3 linked regions of the Saccharomyces cerevisiae S288C genome follow. The protein of the gene in region 3 purifies or fractionates together with the protein of the main gene of each other region. This does not show direct contact. Each region holds a gene or a part of one and is shown on either strand. Other genes may lie near its edges.

Region 1 (4,306 bases), on a different chromosome or scaffold from region 3:
AGTTCTCACCCGCTAGAAAAATATGATCTCCTTGACGATGCAAATAAACACTTGATTATTTGCGGAGTTTGCCGTCATGAAATGACGTTTGCAGAGTATTACGACTACAATTCAAACCTTATTTGTCCCAATTGCAGATCCCCCTTTAATCCAGGCTGTAAATTGCACTACCATTTGTATTTCCAGAACCCTCCCCCCGCTATGTGTTGAGTGTTGTTCTATAAATGCATGCCATCTTAAGCTCTGCTGTGCTCTTCTCGTTAAGGAAAAAATGCGATGGTATATATATAGATATATATATATATATATGTATCTGTATATATATGTTCATACATATATATATATCTATTATTGTTGTTATTATTATCGTGATTATTATTTAGGTCCTCCCTTCTTTTTACCTGTTTTTAATCTACCCTCAAATCCGGCTCTTTTCTTTGGTACGGCACTACCGACATACTTTCTTTTCATCTTTTCTTGCTTATTTCTCTTTTTACCCTTGTTGTCTTTCCTAATCCTCAGATTCTCTTCTCTTCTCTTTTGTCTTTCAGATATCGTGTCTTCCACAACCCTCTTACGTTCGCTCCATTCAATCGCAGACTTTCTCTTTTGTGCTTCCTTTCTCTTTATAGCTTTGCGAAGTAGTTTTTCGTCATCCCTAATCTTAATTCCTTCTGCTTGTAACATAGCCTTTTGCCATTTTTCCTTTTCCTTCTGCTTGATTTGTTCTAGTTCGTCTTTCGCCTCCATCTTATTCTTCTTGGCTTCTAATAACTTTAAGTGTGATTTTACATCATTCTTAGCCGGACCCTTCGTTCTACCAGCTTTTCTTAACCTTTGTAAATCTGAAGTGGCCCTTGCACCATCATCGAATATGATATTTTGAAACATTACACCATCTGCGTTAATTTCTGAGTCCTTCTTGCCTTTTTTGAATCTTTTTTTCGAATTGTTTTCTAAATCACTATCGATGTCTTCCATATCGGAATCAGACGCAATTTCATCCTGATCCTGTTCCTGTTCACTTTCTAGACGCTTTCTTTTTTTCAACTCTTCCTTGCGTTTCCTTTGAGCAAGAATAGCCTCTCTAGAACCGGGTGCTTTCCTTTTACTCTTCATATCTGAAATTTTCGCTTGTAACTTGGAACGTAGTGCTTCCAAGTTTTTCTTTCTTTGTAGTTTCTCTTCCTCTGTAATAGACTTCTTTTCGACAGATCTATCGGGCTCTGTAGTATCTTTTTTAGATTCTAATGGTATTTCATTTCCCTCATCATCAAAGATCACCTTAATATCCTCTTCCTCTTCTTCATCTTCGTCTGGTGCTATTATCATAGGATCGTTTACTTCTACGTTCAGGTCGGAGTCTCCTTCCACTTTTGATGTTGCTTCCTTTTGCTTTTGCATTTTCATGTGCTTGAATTTTTCACCAGGTAGGACCACCGGCTTTGCGTCTTTCTCCTTCTTCTTCATTACTTCTAATGTACTAGATGTTTCATCATCACGTTGCTCCGGGTCTAATTTTTTCAGTTTATCATTTTTACTCTGTTCTTTGGTTTTCTTCTTGGCCTTCCATTGCTCTTGACTTTTTTCATCATAATAGTATTTTGCAGGAATTAAAGCCAATAAACCATCGAAGGCGCTTGAATTAGCACGAAGGCGCTCCTCAAGTGAATTACTCATCTCAGTCTCCTATATCTTTCAATTCCCGGACTTTCTTTATCACTTGCAACAACGTCTCAGTCCTCACTTGTTATTCATCTCTTGGTCATCTCATCTCTTTTATTGTACTTTCCTCTTTTCTTTACCGGAGATGAGAATAAAAAGAATTCATTTTAAAAAATTTTCAATTTGGTGTCTGGGTGAAACTTTTTAATCGTGTAATCCCAATTAAACCACTCTACTTTACTTTAATTGGTACACGAACTCATTACACACCTTTGCCTCTATTGCTTGTGTCAATCGTGTTGAGAGAGGAAGCCCAAAACAAGGGAAATTAACCTCTGTAGGCAAGCCATCACATTTGGCAATAGCAGCCCTCATTTAATTTAATTCGGCATGTGGCCGGCAGGGTAATGCGCTCTGCTGCTGACAAAATTGAAAGAAAAATTTTTTTCATCAACAGTTTGCAATACTTTCTTTTTCATATTTAATTCATCCATTCCGTCGTTAATTTTGTTCAAAACTGGTGTCCATCCTTAATACCAACTCAATTCTTTGATTTTGGCCCTCGATAGATTCAAGATGTCCCAAGGTACTTTATACATTAATAGATCTCCAAGAAACTACGCTTCTGAAGCTTTGATTTCTTACTTTAAACTAGATGTCAAGATCGTTGATCTAGAACAATCTAGCGAGTTTGCTTCTTTGTTCCCATTGAAGCAAGCCCCTGCATTTTTGGGTCCAAAGGGCTTAAAGCTAACTGAAGCTTTGGCTATCCAATTTTATTGTATGTTCCATATTTTATTTTAACACTTCCACATACATTGTTTTGCGCGTTTCCCGTTCGTTTATTTGGCACGTCATTTTTCTTCGAAACATAATGATGAAAAAAAATTTTATCAAACAGTTATCCCTGTCTGAATGGGTAATAATAGGTAACCTCTCATATGTTGATATTTGTATTTCTGATATGTTTCTTAAAGAAAAATGAAAGTCAAAATAACAAAAAGGAAGTACAAAGCGTGTCCTAATCCAGGAAAAAATATAAAGGATTGTTTTACTAACATTTCTTCAATTAATGGTTGTATAACCATCGAGATGATGTATATTTAGTGGCTAATCAAGTTGCCGATGAAAAAGAAAGAGCTCGCTTATTAGGTTCCGACGTTATCGAAAAGTCTCAAATCCTTAGATGGGCATCTCTAGCTAATTCCGATGTCATGAGCAACATTGCTCGTCCATTCCTTTCTTTCAAAGGTTTGATTCCATACAACAAGAAAGACGTTGATGCTTGTTTTGTTAAAATCGACAACCTAGCTGCTGTCTTCGATGCTAGATTGAGAGACTACACCTTTGTTGCTACCGAAAACATTTCTCTAGGTGACCTTCATGCCGCTGGTTCTTGGGCTTTTGGTTTGGCCACTATTTTGGGCCCTGAATGGAGAGCTAAGCATCCTCATTTGATGAGATGGTTCAACACTGTTGCTGCTTCTCCAATCGTGAAGACTCCATTTGCTGAAGTCAAATTGGCTGAAAAGGCTCTAACCTACACTCCACCAAAGAAGCAAAAGGCTGAAAAGCCAAAGGCCGAAAAGTCAAAGGCTGAAAAGAAGAAGGACGAAGCTAAGCCAGCAGATGATGCTGCTCCAGCTAAAAAGCCAAAGCACCCATTGGAAGCTTTAGGAAAGTCCACATTTGTCTTGGATGACTGGAAGAGAAAGTACTCCAACGACGACACCAGACCAGTTGCTTTGCCATGGTTCTGGGAACACTACAACCCTGAAGAATACTCCATCTGGAAGGTTGGTTACAAATACAACGACGAACTTACCTTGACTTTCATGTCCAACAACTTGGTCGGTGGTTTTTTCAACAGATTGTCCGCTTCTACTAAGTACATGTTCGGTTGTTTAGTTGTCTATGGTGAAAACAACAATAATGGTATTGTTGGTGCCGTTATGGTCAGAGGCCAAGATTTCGCTCCAGCCTTTGATGTCGCTCCAGACTGGGAATCTTACGAATACACCAAGTTGGACCCAACCAAGGAAGAAGACAAAGAATTTGTCAACAACATGTGGGCTTGGGATAAGCCTGTTGTTGTCAATGGCGAAGATAAGGAAATTGTTGACGGTAAGGTTTTGAAATAATCTCAATAACTCTTCTTCCATATTTTCTTCCCAATATACATAAGAGTCAAACAAAACGAATTTTCAAAAGAAAAAAGAAAAAAACCCTGAAGTCTACTTCATGATTACCCCATACTTACGCGTGGTTTAATTCTATGTAACGATTAACGTCCATGTAATCATTATATATATATATATTGTAATAATCTCTCTAATTGAGTATCACAATCTGCTGCGGTTACTCTAACAATATTTTGCATAAACTTGATTCTTCTCTTCTTATTTCATGTTTCAGTGGGGCATTTTCCATTGTACTTTTGCAACAATAGCGAAAAAAACAATTTTCCGTAAAGAGAAGCGTCAGTCATAAACGGTGTATGTTACCCGAACTGGAATGAATTTTATCTTAAGACTGGAAAACAATTTAGGATAGAACTGAAGATAGTGCAACACGTCTGGTGATATCATGTGCTTTCAAGCAGGATTTGTCACAGTGCTTTAGAAACACAAACAAAGGAGGT
Region 2 (3,821 bases), on a different chromosome or scaffold from region 3:
TGTAGCGCAAAAGGTGCAAGCTACTTTGCCCTTTATAATCATTCAGAATGTTATTGTGGTGATACTAATCCATCTGGTTCGGAATCTACTTCCTCTTCATGTAATACGTATTGCTTTGGTTACAGCAGTGAGATGTGTGGTGGTGAAGATGCCTATTCTGTGTACCAACTTGACTCTGACACAAATAGCAATAGCATAAGCAGCTCAGATTCAAGTACGGAGTCTACTTCTGCGTCGTCTTCCACAACTTCTTCAACAACGTCCTCCACAACATCAACTACATCATCGACTACATCATCAACTACATCATCAATGGCGTCTTCCTCTACAGTACAGAATTCCCCCGAGTCAACTCAAGCAGCTGCCTCTATTTCAACGTCACAGAGTTCGAGCACTGTAACGTCAGAAAGCTCGCTAACTTCGGATACTTTGGCAACGAGCAGTACTAGCTCTCAATCACAGGACGCCACTTCGATAATCTATTCCACTACTTTTCACACTGAGGGCGGTTCCACAATTTTTGTCACGAACACCATCACGGCAAGTGCACAGAATTCAGGATCGGCCACAGGTACAGCTGGATCTGACTCTACGAGTGGAAGTAAAACTCATAAAAAGAAAGCCAATGTAGGGGCAATTGTAGGCGGCGTTGTAGGTGGTGTAGTGGGAGCCGTAGCCATTGCTCTTTGTATCTTGTTGATTGTCAGACACATTAATATGAAGCGGGAACAAGACAGGATGGAAAAGGAATACCAAGAGGCGATAAAACCAGTTGAGTACCCTGATAAACTATACGCCTCTTCATTTTCATCTAATCACGGGCCCTCTTCAGGTAGCTTCGAGGAGGAGCACACCAAAGGGCAAACTGATATTAACCCTTTCGACGACTCAAGGAGAATAAGTAACGGAACATTCATAAATGGCGGACCAGGAGGGAAAAACAACGTTTTAACAGTGGTCAATCCAGACGAAGCTGATTGAAGAAACCCAAAAAAAATTATTATATTCTTAAACTATTGCCAAGCAAGTCTTGTTCCTTCCCATTAATTTTTTCTTTTTCCGATTTCATTTTGCCAAATCATCTCCATTTTCACATTATGATGATCCTCTAAAAATTCATACATTTCGAATTTGAGAGCTGGAGAGCTGGAAGTAACGAGGAACATTAAATAGGAACAACAAAATTAGATTAGTTATTTTTTTTTCTACTCATTAATTTTTTTATGATATATTTGAATACCAACCTTAACTTAGTTACATAGATTTAACAAACATTAAACATGTTAATTCTTTGAAATGAATACCACCTAATAAAACTATACATTTTCAAAATAACAAATTGTTATGAAACTAATAGCTAATTATCTTCTAGTGACAATAACCACTTTACTAGAAATTATTAAAAAAATACCGCGTTGAAAGACGATATAAAGTAGGAGATTAATAAATTTATATTCATATTTTCTTCAATCTAATGAAATTGAAGCGCAAGGATTGATTATGTGATAGGATGCGTGAGTAGTAATGCATGAAAAAGGAGGAAGACGTGATTATAATATATGATGTAAAATTTTGATTCCATTTTGCGGATTCCTGTATCCTCGAGGAAAGACCTCTGGCATATTATATAGGGATATTATTCCTTTACAAAAAATGGAATGAAAGAATCAAAACAAAATTGTCATGTTTGCACAATTGCGTATACCATTGCATATAATTATGTCGAAAATCATCAATATGTATGGGAATGATCATTCCATTTTTTTCACACTGGCATAATAATTTGAATATAATAATAATGGATGATGGGCATTATTGGGAAATAAAACTATGAAATTTGCTTTTAGTACGTGTATCGATAAATATCTCTAATTTTCTCAAGATCTGTTCCTCGTGGCCCAATGGTCACGGCGTCTGGCTACGAACCAGAAGATTCCAGGTTCAAGTCCTGGCGGGGAAGATTTTTTTTAACATTGAATAGAAATTACAAAGGTCTTTTATGCTATTTTAAAGGGCTATAGGCGGCATAATATTTGCTTTTAACCTTATTGTCATGACATTCTAATCACAACACTTAGCCCTTCTTTTGTATTTTTCCAAACTTTTTCAAGTCTTAAAATTTTCCCAATCGAAAAAAATGGAAGATCCGAGAAGGTTTTATTGCCCTACGCTTAATCCCAAATTTTGCCACCATATAAAATGAGTACGAGCGATATAATCGGACAACTGAATAGAAGCTTCTGACCAAGTGATATCTTATTAATACAAATCTACTGTACGATGTCAGCATCAAAAGAAGAAATTGCTGCCCTTATTGTAAACTACTTTTCTTCCATTGTGGAAAAGAAAGAAATTTCAGAAGATGGCGCCGATTCTTTAAATGTTGCTATGGACTGTATCTCTGAAGCCTTTGGCTTTGAAAGAGAAGCTGTTTCAGGCATTTTAGGCAAGTCTGAATTCAAGGGTCAACATCTTGCTGATATATTAAATTCTGCGTCAAGAGTTCCAGAATCGAATAAGAAAGACGATGCTGAGAATGTCGAGATTAATATTCCAGAAGATGATGCGGAAACTAAAGCCAAAGCTGAGGACTTGAAAATGCAAGGTAATAAAGCAATGGCCAACAAGGATTACGAACTGGCAATCAATAAATATACTGAAGCCATTAAAGTTTTACCAACGAATGCTATTTATTACGCCAATAGAGCGGCTGCTCATTCATCCCTGAAAGAATATGATCAAGCGGTCAAAGACGCTGAATCTGCAATTTCTATTGACCCATCTTATTTCAGAGGCTACTCTAGATTGGGTTTTGCTAAATATGCGCAAGGTAAACCCGAAGAAGCCCTTGAAGCATACAAAAAGGTTCTTGATATAGAGGGCGATAATGCAACAGAAGCTATGAAAAGGGATTATGAAAGTGCCAAGAAGAAGGTTGAGCAATCTTTGAATCTGGAGAAAACCGTTCCAGAACAGTCAAGGGATGCTGATGTCGATGCAAGTCAGGGTGCTAGTGCGGGTGGATTGCCAGATCTTGGTTCTTTATTAGGAGGTGGTCTTGGAGGTTTAATGAACAACCCACAATTGATGCAGGCTGCGCAAAAAATGATGAGCAATCCAGGTGCAATGCAGAATATTCAAAAAATGATGCAAGATCCAAGTATCAGACAGATGGCTGAAGGCTTTGCTTCAGGCGGAGGAACTCCAAATTTGTCTGACTTGATGAATAACCCAGCACTCAGAAACATGGCAGGCAATCTTTTTGGTGGAGCAGGTGCCCAATCTACAGATGAAACACCAGACAATGAGAACAAGCAATAGTGGACTGAAATAAGCCTTTAATGCAATACATGTTATGTAGATACAAATATAGCTCTATCTAGGATGAGTGTTACCAGGAATTTTATTTTTACTTTGAGATCACTTGCGAAATACTTAAATAGGGACTGTAGTTTACTTTTTCTTTTTTTCAGGTAAATTCGTCGATTTTCGGAGAAGACTAGAAAATATAATGTGATGAGAAACTACATAAAAAAATTTTTACTAGTAAATGTCTATTTGAAATACTTTATCGAAAAGCTTTTTATGTAAATCTGTATAGAACTTCTCGCGTAAGACAGTTGAGTAAGCAGTAACAATGGGAAAAGGTAAAAATAAGATGCACGAACCCAAAAATGGAAGACCACAGAGAGGCGCTAATGGGCACAGTTCCAGGCAAAACCATAGGCGCATGGAAATGAAGTACGATAATTCAGAAAAAATGAAGTTTCCTGTTAAACTGGCTATGTGGGATTTTGATCATTGCGATCCAAAGAGATGCA
Region 3 (6,729 bases):
CATGATGAAGGTGAAATATCAAGGGAGGGTGATTTAGTAAGGATAGAAGCGACGAGGCCGCTTTCAAAGAGGAAGTTTTTTGCCATTGCAGAAATTATTAGAAACAAGGGTCAACAATTTGCATTATACGAATCAGAAGCTCAGTTAAGCGTTGCAAAAGAAGAAGCCCAAAAGGCAAAAGAATTTTTGGATAAAAGATCAGTGAGGGAGAATAAACTAAATGAAAAAACAACCCTTTTACGTGATATTAGGACCATCCAAGATGCTTTATCTAGCGGGTCAACGCCGAAAGAGTTATTGGAGATTAAACAAAGGTACGGCATTCAAGATTTTTCACAAGAAACAGTGAGGCAACTTTTACAGTTAGACATCTCTGGATTGGAGGTTAATTTGGAGAAACAAAGAAGTCTCATTGATCGTATTCAAACGCGATTATCCGAATTGTTGTCGAATGATCTAAAATGTGATCAATTTTTGAAGGATCATGGTGTTGAGGATCCTTTGACCTTGAAAAAAAACATCAAAAAAAATTTGTTAAGAAAGCACGTCATGATGGATATGCAACAACCAAGCCAGTAAATAAAAGAAAGAGGAAAGCCGAGTGTCATATTTTCTCAACTAAAGCACTACACTCTGTAAATATATACAACTACAAGACTTCGTTACGTAAATAGTAAAGTGTTATGTTTTGACTTTAAAATATTCTAGTGAAAAGAACGATGTTTTTGATTTTCTATCGTTTAACGCATTTATATATTTTCAGGCAAGTGATATCGAAGATGTGAGTACATCGCTCGTCCCCATCGTCAAAAACAAAAGTAAATAAAAGAGCTCTGCTCTGATTTTACAAACAAGAAAATTCCAAGGAAATAGTCCAAGTTTTATATGACCCCACCTCATTTTTTTTTATCTCTCATAAAAAAAAGATGCATATGCTGGATATGTTTGGAAGAATCCACATATGACTCTACATGGCTACAGCACACGTGCGGTTGCAACTTACAAATTCATAAACGCTGCTATATAAGATGGCTCTATCAAATGCATGTTGAACTTTTTCTTCCGAACACAGTGGACCTACCAAAGGATGCTGATTTACCTATAATCACCTGTTTAAAATGTCTCGTTGATGGGCACCATGATTTTATGACGACTTTCTCTCTTACAGAAATATGGGAAACTCGTCCCATTTGGGGGCAAAAATCAGTACCGTTTCAAAATGACTACGTGTTCAATCTAATGTCTCTTTATACCAAACGGGATAATCATCCACCTTATGTGTTAGTGAAATTTGGCGAATGTCCTCAATGCAAGAAAACAAATTTCATAAAAAGACCTACAGTAACCATCCAGTCTTCTGTACTATCCCTGTTTTATCAGTGGCAAAAAATTACACGATACGTGATACCATTAGGGATAACTAGTTTATTTCTTTTAAACCCTGAAAAGACAAGTTTTGACATTGGATTATGGCAACTACGCTGCCTTTTCCCTGAGAATGTTCTACGAAATATGTTAAACATCAGCACTACAAAGGCATTGGACGTATATGCGCAAACTGAACGTGGCTTATTAAGCATTCCTTTAACCTCCTCGATCATAATATATGGGTTCATACATTATCTTAGCAACATTTCTAACGTCAGTGCTAATGCAATACTCTTTAAGTGGGTGTATCTCAGTATTGTAAAAACTGCTGGAAACAAATATTACAAGGGTATAGGTTTACCTAAAATAATTTTGTATTCTAACTTGGCTACATTTTGCTATAATTTTACCTTTAAAAGATTGGTTGACTTAATTTACAGGAGGCTGATCAATAAAGGAGGTAAGTATTTGTATCACGGAAATTTTGAAAACTCTAGTAATAGCGTTCCAGCTGAGGAATTTTTTATCAGGCGGAATTGGTATGCTATTCTTGCAGAAAAGATACTATGGCCCTTTGTTGGTAAATGTACAGGAGGTCTTCTATTGAATGCTTTTCTATGGATACAGAGAAAGTTTAAAATTGAATGGACGCCGAATTGCTCCCCTTCGGAATTTAGAATGATTTTCAATATTATAGGTTGTGGTACTGCTGCTATAGGCTGGTCAAGTCTGAAGCTCTATGCCAGTTACAAAAGATGTCAGGAACTTGAAAAGATCAATGAATTTATTGAACAAAGTTGCAAAGGTGAGTAAATAAGTCATTCGTAAGTGTACACTAAACTTTAAGGACAGCTGGTAGGACAATTTTATGGTCATTTGACAGCTGATGTCTTAAATTGTGTGCTATGGTTCATGTTTACATTAAGACCAACTTTTTTAAAGGCGCGTAAAGCAGAATCATTATTACAAATAGTAAAAATAAGTAAACAAATTTATATAATATATAAAACATGAAGGCGAAAAAAGAGATTAATCAACTTCTTCCATCTCGGTGTCAGCTGGAACCTCTTCAACTGGAGCTTCGGTAGAAGCTTCTGGAGCGGTTTCTGTTTCTTCATCCTCATCAATGTTCAAACCTAAAGAAATCAATCTATTTATTCTTGATGCAAAAGAAGTTGGTTCTTCCAAACTGAAACCAGAAGTCAACAAAGCGGTCTCGAATAATAAGTTAGTCAAATCTTTGACGGTCTTATCTTGTGCACCACCCTCATCAACTCTCTTTTTCAATTCCTTAATAATTGGAGATTTTGGAGAAATTTCGAAAGTCTTCTTGGAAGACATGTAGGAGGACATGGAAGAGTCTCTCAAGGCTTGAGCCTTCATGATTCTTTCCATGTTAGCAGACCAGCCGAATTGACCAGTTCTGATGGCAGCTGGAGCATCTAGCAATTTGTAAGAAACAACAACCTTCTCCACTTGGTCACCCAAGATATCCTTCAAGGCCTTGGTCAATGGTTCGTATTCTTTGATCTCCTTCTCTCTTTCAGCTTTTTCTTCGTCTGTTTCTTCCAATTCGAAATCTTTAGTAATGTCAACCAAAGTTTTACCCTCGAATTCCTTCAATTGAGTGAAAGCGTATTCATCAATTGGGTCGGTCAAGAACAAAACTTCAAAGTTCTTAGCCTTCAAGGCGTCCAAGAATGGAGACTTTTCGACTGCCTTTAGAGATTCACCGGTGATGTAATAGATGTTCTTTTGGTGTTCTGGCATTCTAGTAACGTAATCAGTCAAGGAAGTCAATTCATCGACAGATTTAGTAGAATTGTAACGTAGCAACTTAGCTAAAGCAGCTCTGTTTTGAGTGTCCTCATGTACACCCAGCTTAATGTTCTTAGCGAAGGCAGAGTAAAATTTGTCAAATTGCTCGGAGTCTTCAGCGATTTCGTTGAAGGCTTCAATCAATTTCTTGACAATATTCTTTCTAATAACCTTCATAATCTTATTTTGTTGTAACATTTCTCTGGACAAATTCAATGGTAAATCTTCAGAGTCAACAACACCCTTGACGAAAGATAACCACTCTGGAATCAAGTCTTCAGCTTCATCAGTGATGAAGACACGACGAACGTACAACTTGATATTGTTCTTCTTCTTCTTACTCTCAAATAAGTCGAATGGTGCTCTCTTTGGAATGAACAAGATAGCTCTAAATTCCAATTGACCTTCAACAGAGAAATGCTTAACGTACAATGGGTCTTCCCAGTCGTTAGAAATAGACTTATAGAAAGCATTGTATTCCTCTTGAGTGATATCAGATGGGTTTCTAGTCCATAATGGCTTAGTCTTGTTCAACTCTTCTAATTCTTGAACCTCTTCTTTAACTTTTTTGGTTTTTGGCTTCTTTTCTTCTTCTTCTTCATCGACTTCTTCCAATTTTGGTTTCTTGTCATCTTCATCCTTCTTTTCCTCGTCTTTCTTTTCTTCTTCTGGAATTGGAACTTCCTTTTCGACTTCCTTGGTGACTAGAAGTTGGATAGGGTAAGCAACGAATTCAGAATGTCTCTTGATGACTTCTTTAATTCTCTTTTCTTCCAAGTACTCCAATTGGTCATCTTTCAAGAATAATCTCAAGACGGTACCTCTACCAATTCTTTCGTTAACTTCGTCCAAAGTAACGGTGAAAGAACCACCGGCATTAGATTCCCAAATATATTGTTCGTCCTCATTGTTCTTGGAAATAACTTGAACTCTGTCGGCGACTAAGAATAAAGAGTAAAAACCAACACCGAATTGACCAATCATGGATACATCGGCACCAGCAGATAGAGCTTCCATGAAAGCTTTAGTACCAGACTTAGCAATGGTACCCAAATTGTTAATCAATTCAGCCTTGGTCATACCAATACCAGAATCTCTGATTTCCAAAACTTTTTCTTCTGGTTTTGGGGTGATTCTAATGAACAAATCTGGTTCGGTTTCCAATTGCTTTGGATCAGACAAAGCTTGGTATCTAATTTTGTCTAAAGCATCGGAGGCGTTAGAGATCAGTTCTCTCAAGAAAATTTCCTTGTTAGAATAGACAGTGTTGATGATCAAACTCATCAACTGAGTGATTTCAGCTTGAAATTCAAAAGTTTCACCAGCCATATTTCAGAATGATTCTATTTTTCTATTGGTTCTGTAGCGTTTCAAGAAAAAGAAAACAAGAGAAAGAATATATCACAAAAAATATAATGCATGTGTTCATGTCACTTACGGTAGGCAGTTCACATGCCACTCTTTTTATACAAATCTCCTCCCTCATTACCCAACGCTTGGTGGAAGTTCGAGAAAACGAGAAAAATTGTTCTTTCACCTTCTAGAAAGAAAAGTGCCCAGAAAACAGAAAGGCGGGTAATAAAATGCATCGGCGGCTATTTTAACTTTCTATTGGTAATGGCTGCTGTTCTATGAATACAAAAAGAAAGAATATAAAAGAACGTAAATATTAATTTTGCCTAAGAAGCAAATTATAATCAAATGCGTAATGGGTTATAAACTATCTAGTACGGTTAAAAGCTTGTCAATCTGTTCACAAACCATGTAATCTTCATCTTGATCACGAACGTAAGATAATAGTGTTTTTAGCTTATCGTAGTTGTACTCAAAGGGAAGTAAATCAAATCCTGTACTGTACAACAAATCATGTATCAAGTGTACGGCACTTCTTCTCATCAAAAAAGAATCATCCTTGTCCTTCAAATGATTTTGTGGTTGTTCTAATTGCAATATTCCAAATACACAATCCAGCATATCGCGAATTCTATCCGAGACACCCCTGGCGTTGATTTGAAGGCACATACCTAAGATTGACATGGATGACATACGCCATCTATTGTCCAATGGTTTACTATCATTTGGCCTCACAATACTAAGACAGGTATCTATAATCAGATAAGCCAATTTACCCTGGAACAATTCGTTCTGACGTTGAATGTAATTGATGAACACTTCTCCAACTTTCAGCACATCATCTAATCTGTTTTTCTTTTTTTTGTTAGCATAAAATTCTGCAAGTAGAGGCAATATGGTTTCTGGCTCTAATTCACATAGCGTTGTAAGTCCTTTAATAACGTTGAGATAAATGAAAGGGTCCATATTCTTTAAATAATCTAAATGTATTTGCAACACCTTTTCCAGTGAAATTACTGGAGACTTCTTTTCAGCTAGATGACGTAGTTCTGTTAAACCATAAGATTTTATGGGCACTAAAGGATCATGTAGACTAGTTATCGCTTTGTCAAGCCTTTCCTCATCCATCTCAATTTCTATGTTGTCGTTCCTTTCCGTAGTATGTCCGTTAATCAATATATTATCTATTGATGCCAATAATGCATCTATTTCGGAAGCATTAGTGTTGAAAGATTGTAATTTTCTAGAAATGGATTTCAATATATAACTGTTTTGCAATAATATACTACTGGACGATTCTGAAAGGACGGTTGATAATAACTGCAAGATAATTTTGTAGGAAGAATTTTCATTTGGATCCAATTCTTCTGTTTCTTCTCCTTCTTCAACTTCGTCGTCAGAATCTGCTTCTACTTCCTGTATTGTTTCATCTTTTTCCTGAACAACATCTATCAATTGATCAATAACAATAAGAACGTCCTTAGGTTTATTAACAATCTTGGTTTTAAATCGGTTGTTCATACATTCCAAAAGTTTCAAGTCCATGAGTATTAACGCGTTATCTGTAACGCTTGGCATCCCGCTATGATTATCGGAAGATCTTTTTTCACTTTTTTTTGTATGATGGACCCATCTTTTCAGAATATCTAAAAATAAAGTCTTTGATTGTTCCTCATCATTTAGCAGCACTAAAAATTCCATAAATAATTCTATCGAAAGGTCCATATCTTGAAGAAACTCAGAAATTTGAGAGTTTTTGGATCCTTTTTCGAAAAACAACTCTGCCATATCTGTGTTTTTAACCGATATGTAGGGTAGCTGAGTATCAAGATCAATTAAATACTTCCATTTCTCGTGCTCAAAATTCAGTAAGTTAAGGCTCAGTACATTTAGATATTGAAAATTTTCTGTTATGACTATTAGAGATTTTAATAATGATAATACAACCTCGTAATACTTTGAGGAAGATTGCTCTGGAAAATGTATGCTGTCTGTGCTTTTATTATCTGAAATAGACAATTTGTTTATTTCTAATGGGTCTAGTTTTTGGTTTTTCTTCAAAAAAAGAGCATATATCCATACATATAAAAAGAACTGTCCAGGCGTAGTACCGTCTTCATCAGGGCAACTAGTAACTAAATCATTCAGCAAATCCGATGAAGAATTTTTGGATAAAGATATAAGAACGTT

What was found. The genes of interacting proteins can lie anywhere in the genome.
Region 1: the proteins of HSC82 (region 3) and TEF4 purify together in Saccharomyces cerevisiae (affinity purification with mass spectrometry; 4 studies listed by BioGRID). This does not show direct contact.
Region 2: the proteins of HSC82 (region 3) and SGT2 purify together in Saccharomyces cerevisiae (affinity purification with mass spectrometry; 5 studies listed by BioGRID, with this or other methods). This does not show direct contact.

Annotation. Positions count from the first base shown.
Region 1 is NC_001143.9:280,650-284,955, forward strand, and holds TEF4 (translation elongation factor EF1B gamma), read left to right. Parts: upstream 1-2,241; coding exon 2,242-2,446; intron 2,447-2,535; exon of another isoform or gene 2,536-2,630; intron 2,631-2,772; coding exon 2,773-3,806; downstream 3,807-4,306. Other genes in the region: HOT13 (Hot13p), read left to right, coding at 1-210; ribosome biosynthesis protein RRP14, read right to left, coding at 376-1,680. UniProt on the Saccharomyces cerevisiae protein: Subunit of the eukaryotic elongation factor 1 complex (eEF1). Probably plays a role in anchoring the complex to other cellular components.
Region 2 is NC_001147.6:338,438-342,258, reverse strand, and holds SGT2 (Sgt2p), read left to right. Parts: upstream 1-2,280; coding exon 2,281-3,321; downstream 3,322-3,821. Other genes in the region: SLG1 (Slg1p), read left to right, coding at 1-981; ribosome biogenesis protein TSR3, read left to right, coding at 3,638-3,821. UniProt on the Saccharomyces cerevisiae protein: Co-chaperone that binds to the molecular chaperone Hsp70 (SSA1 and SSA2). Regulates Hsp70 ATPase activity. Required for recovery from heat shock.
Region 3 is NC_001145.3:630,141-636,869, reverse strand, and holds HSC82 (Hsp90 family chaperone HSC82), read right to left. Parts: upstream 4,516-6,729; coding exon 2,398-4,515; downstream 1-2,397. Other genes in the region: mitochondrial 37S ribosomal protein uS17m MRPS17, read left to right, coding at 1-579; YMR187C (uncharacterized protein), read left to right, coding at 886-2,181; RTP1 (Rtp1p), read right to left, coding at 4,900-6,729. UniProt on the Saccharomyces cerevisiae protein: Molecular chaperone that promotes the maturation, structural maintenance and proper regulation of specific target proteins involved in cell cycle control and signal transduction such as CNA2. Undergoes a functional cycle that is linked to its ATPase activity.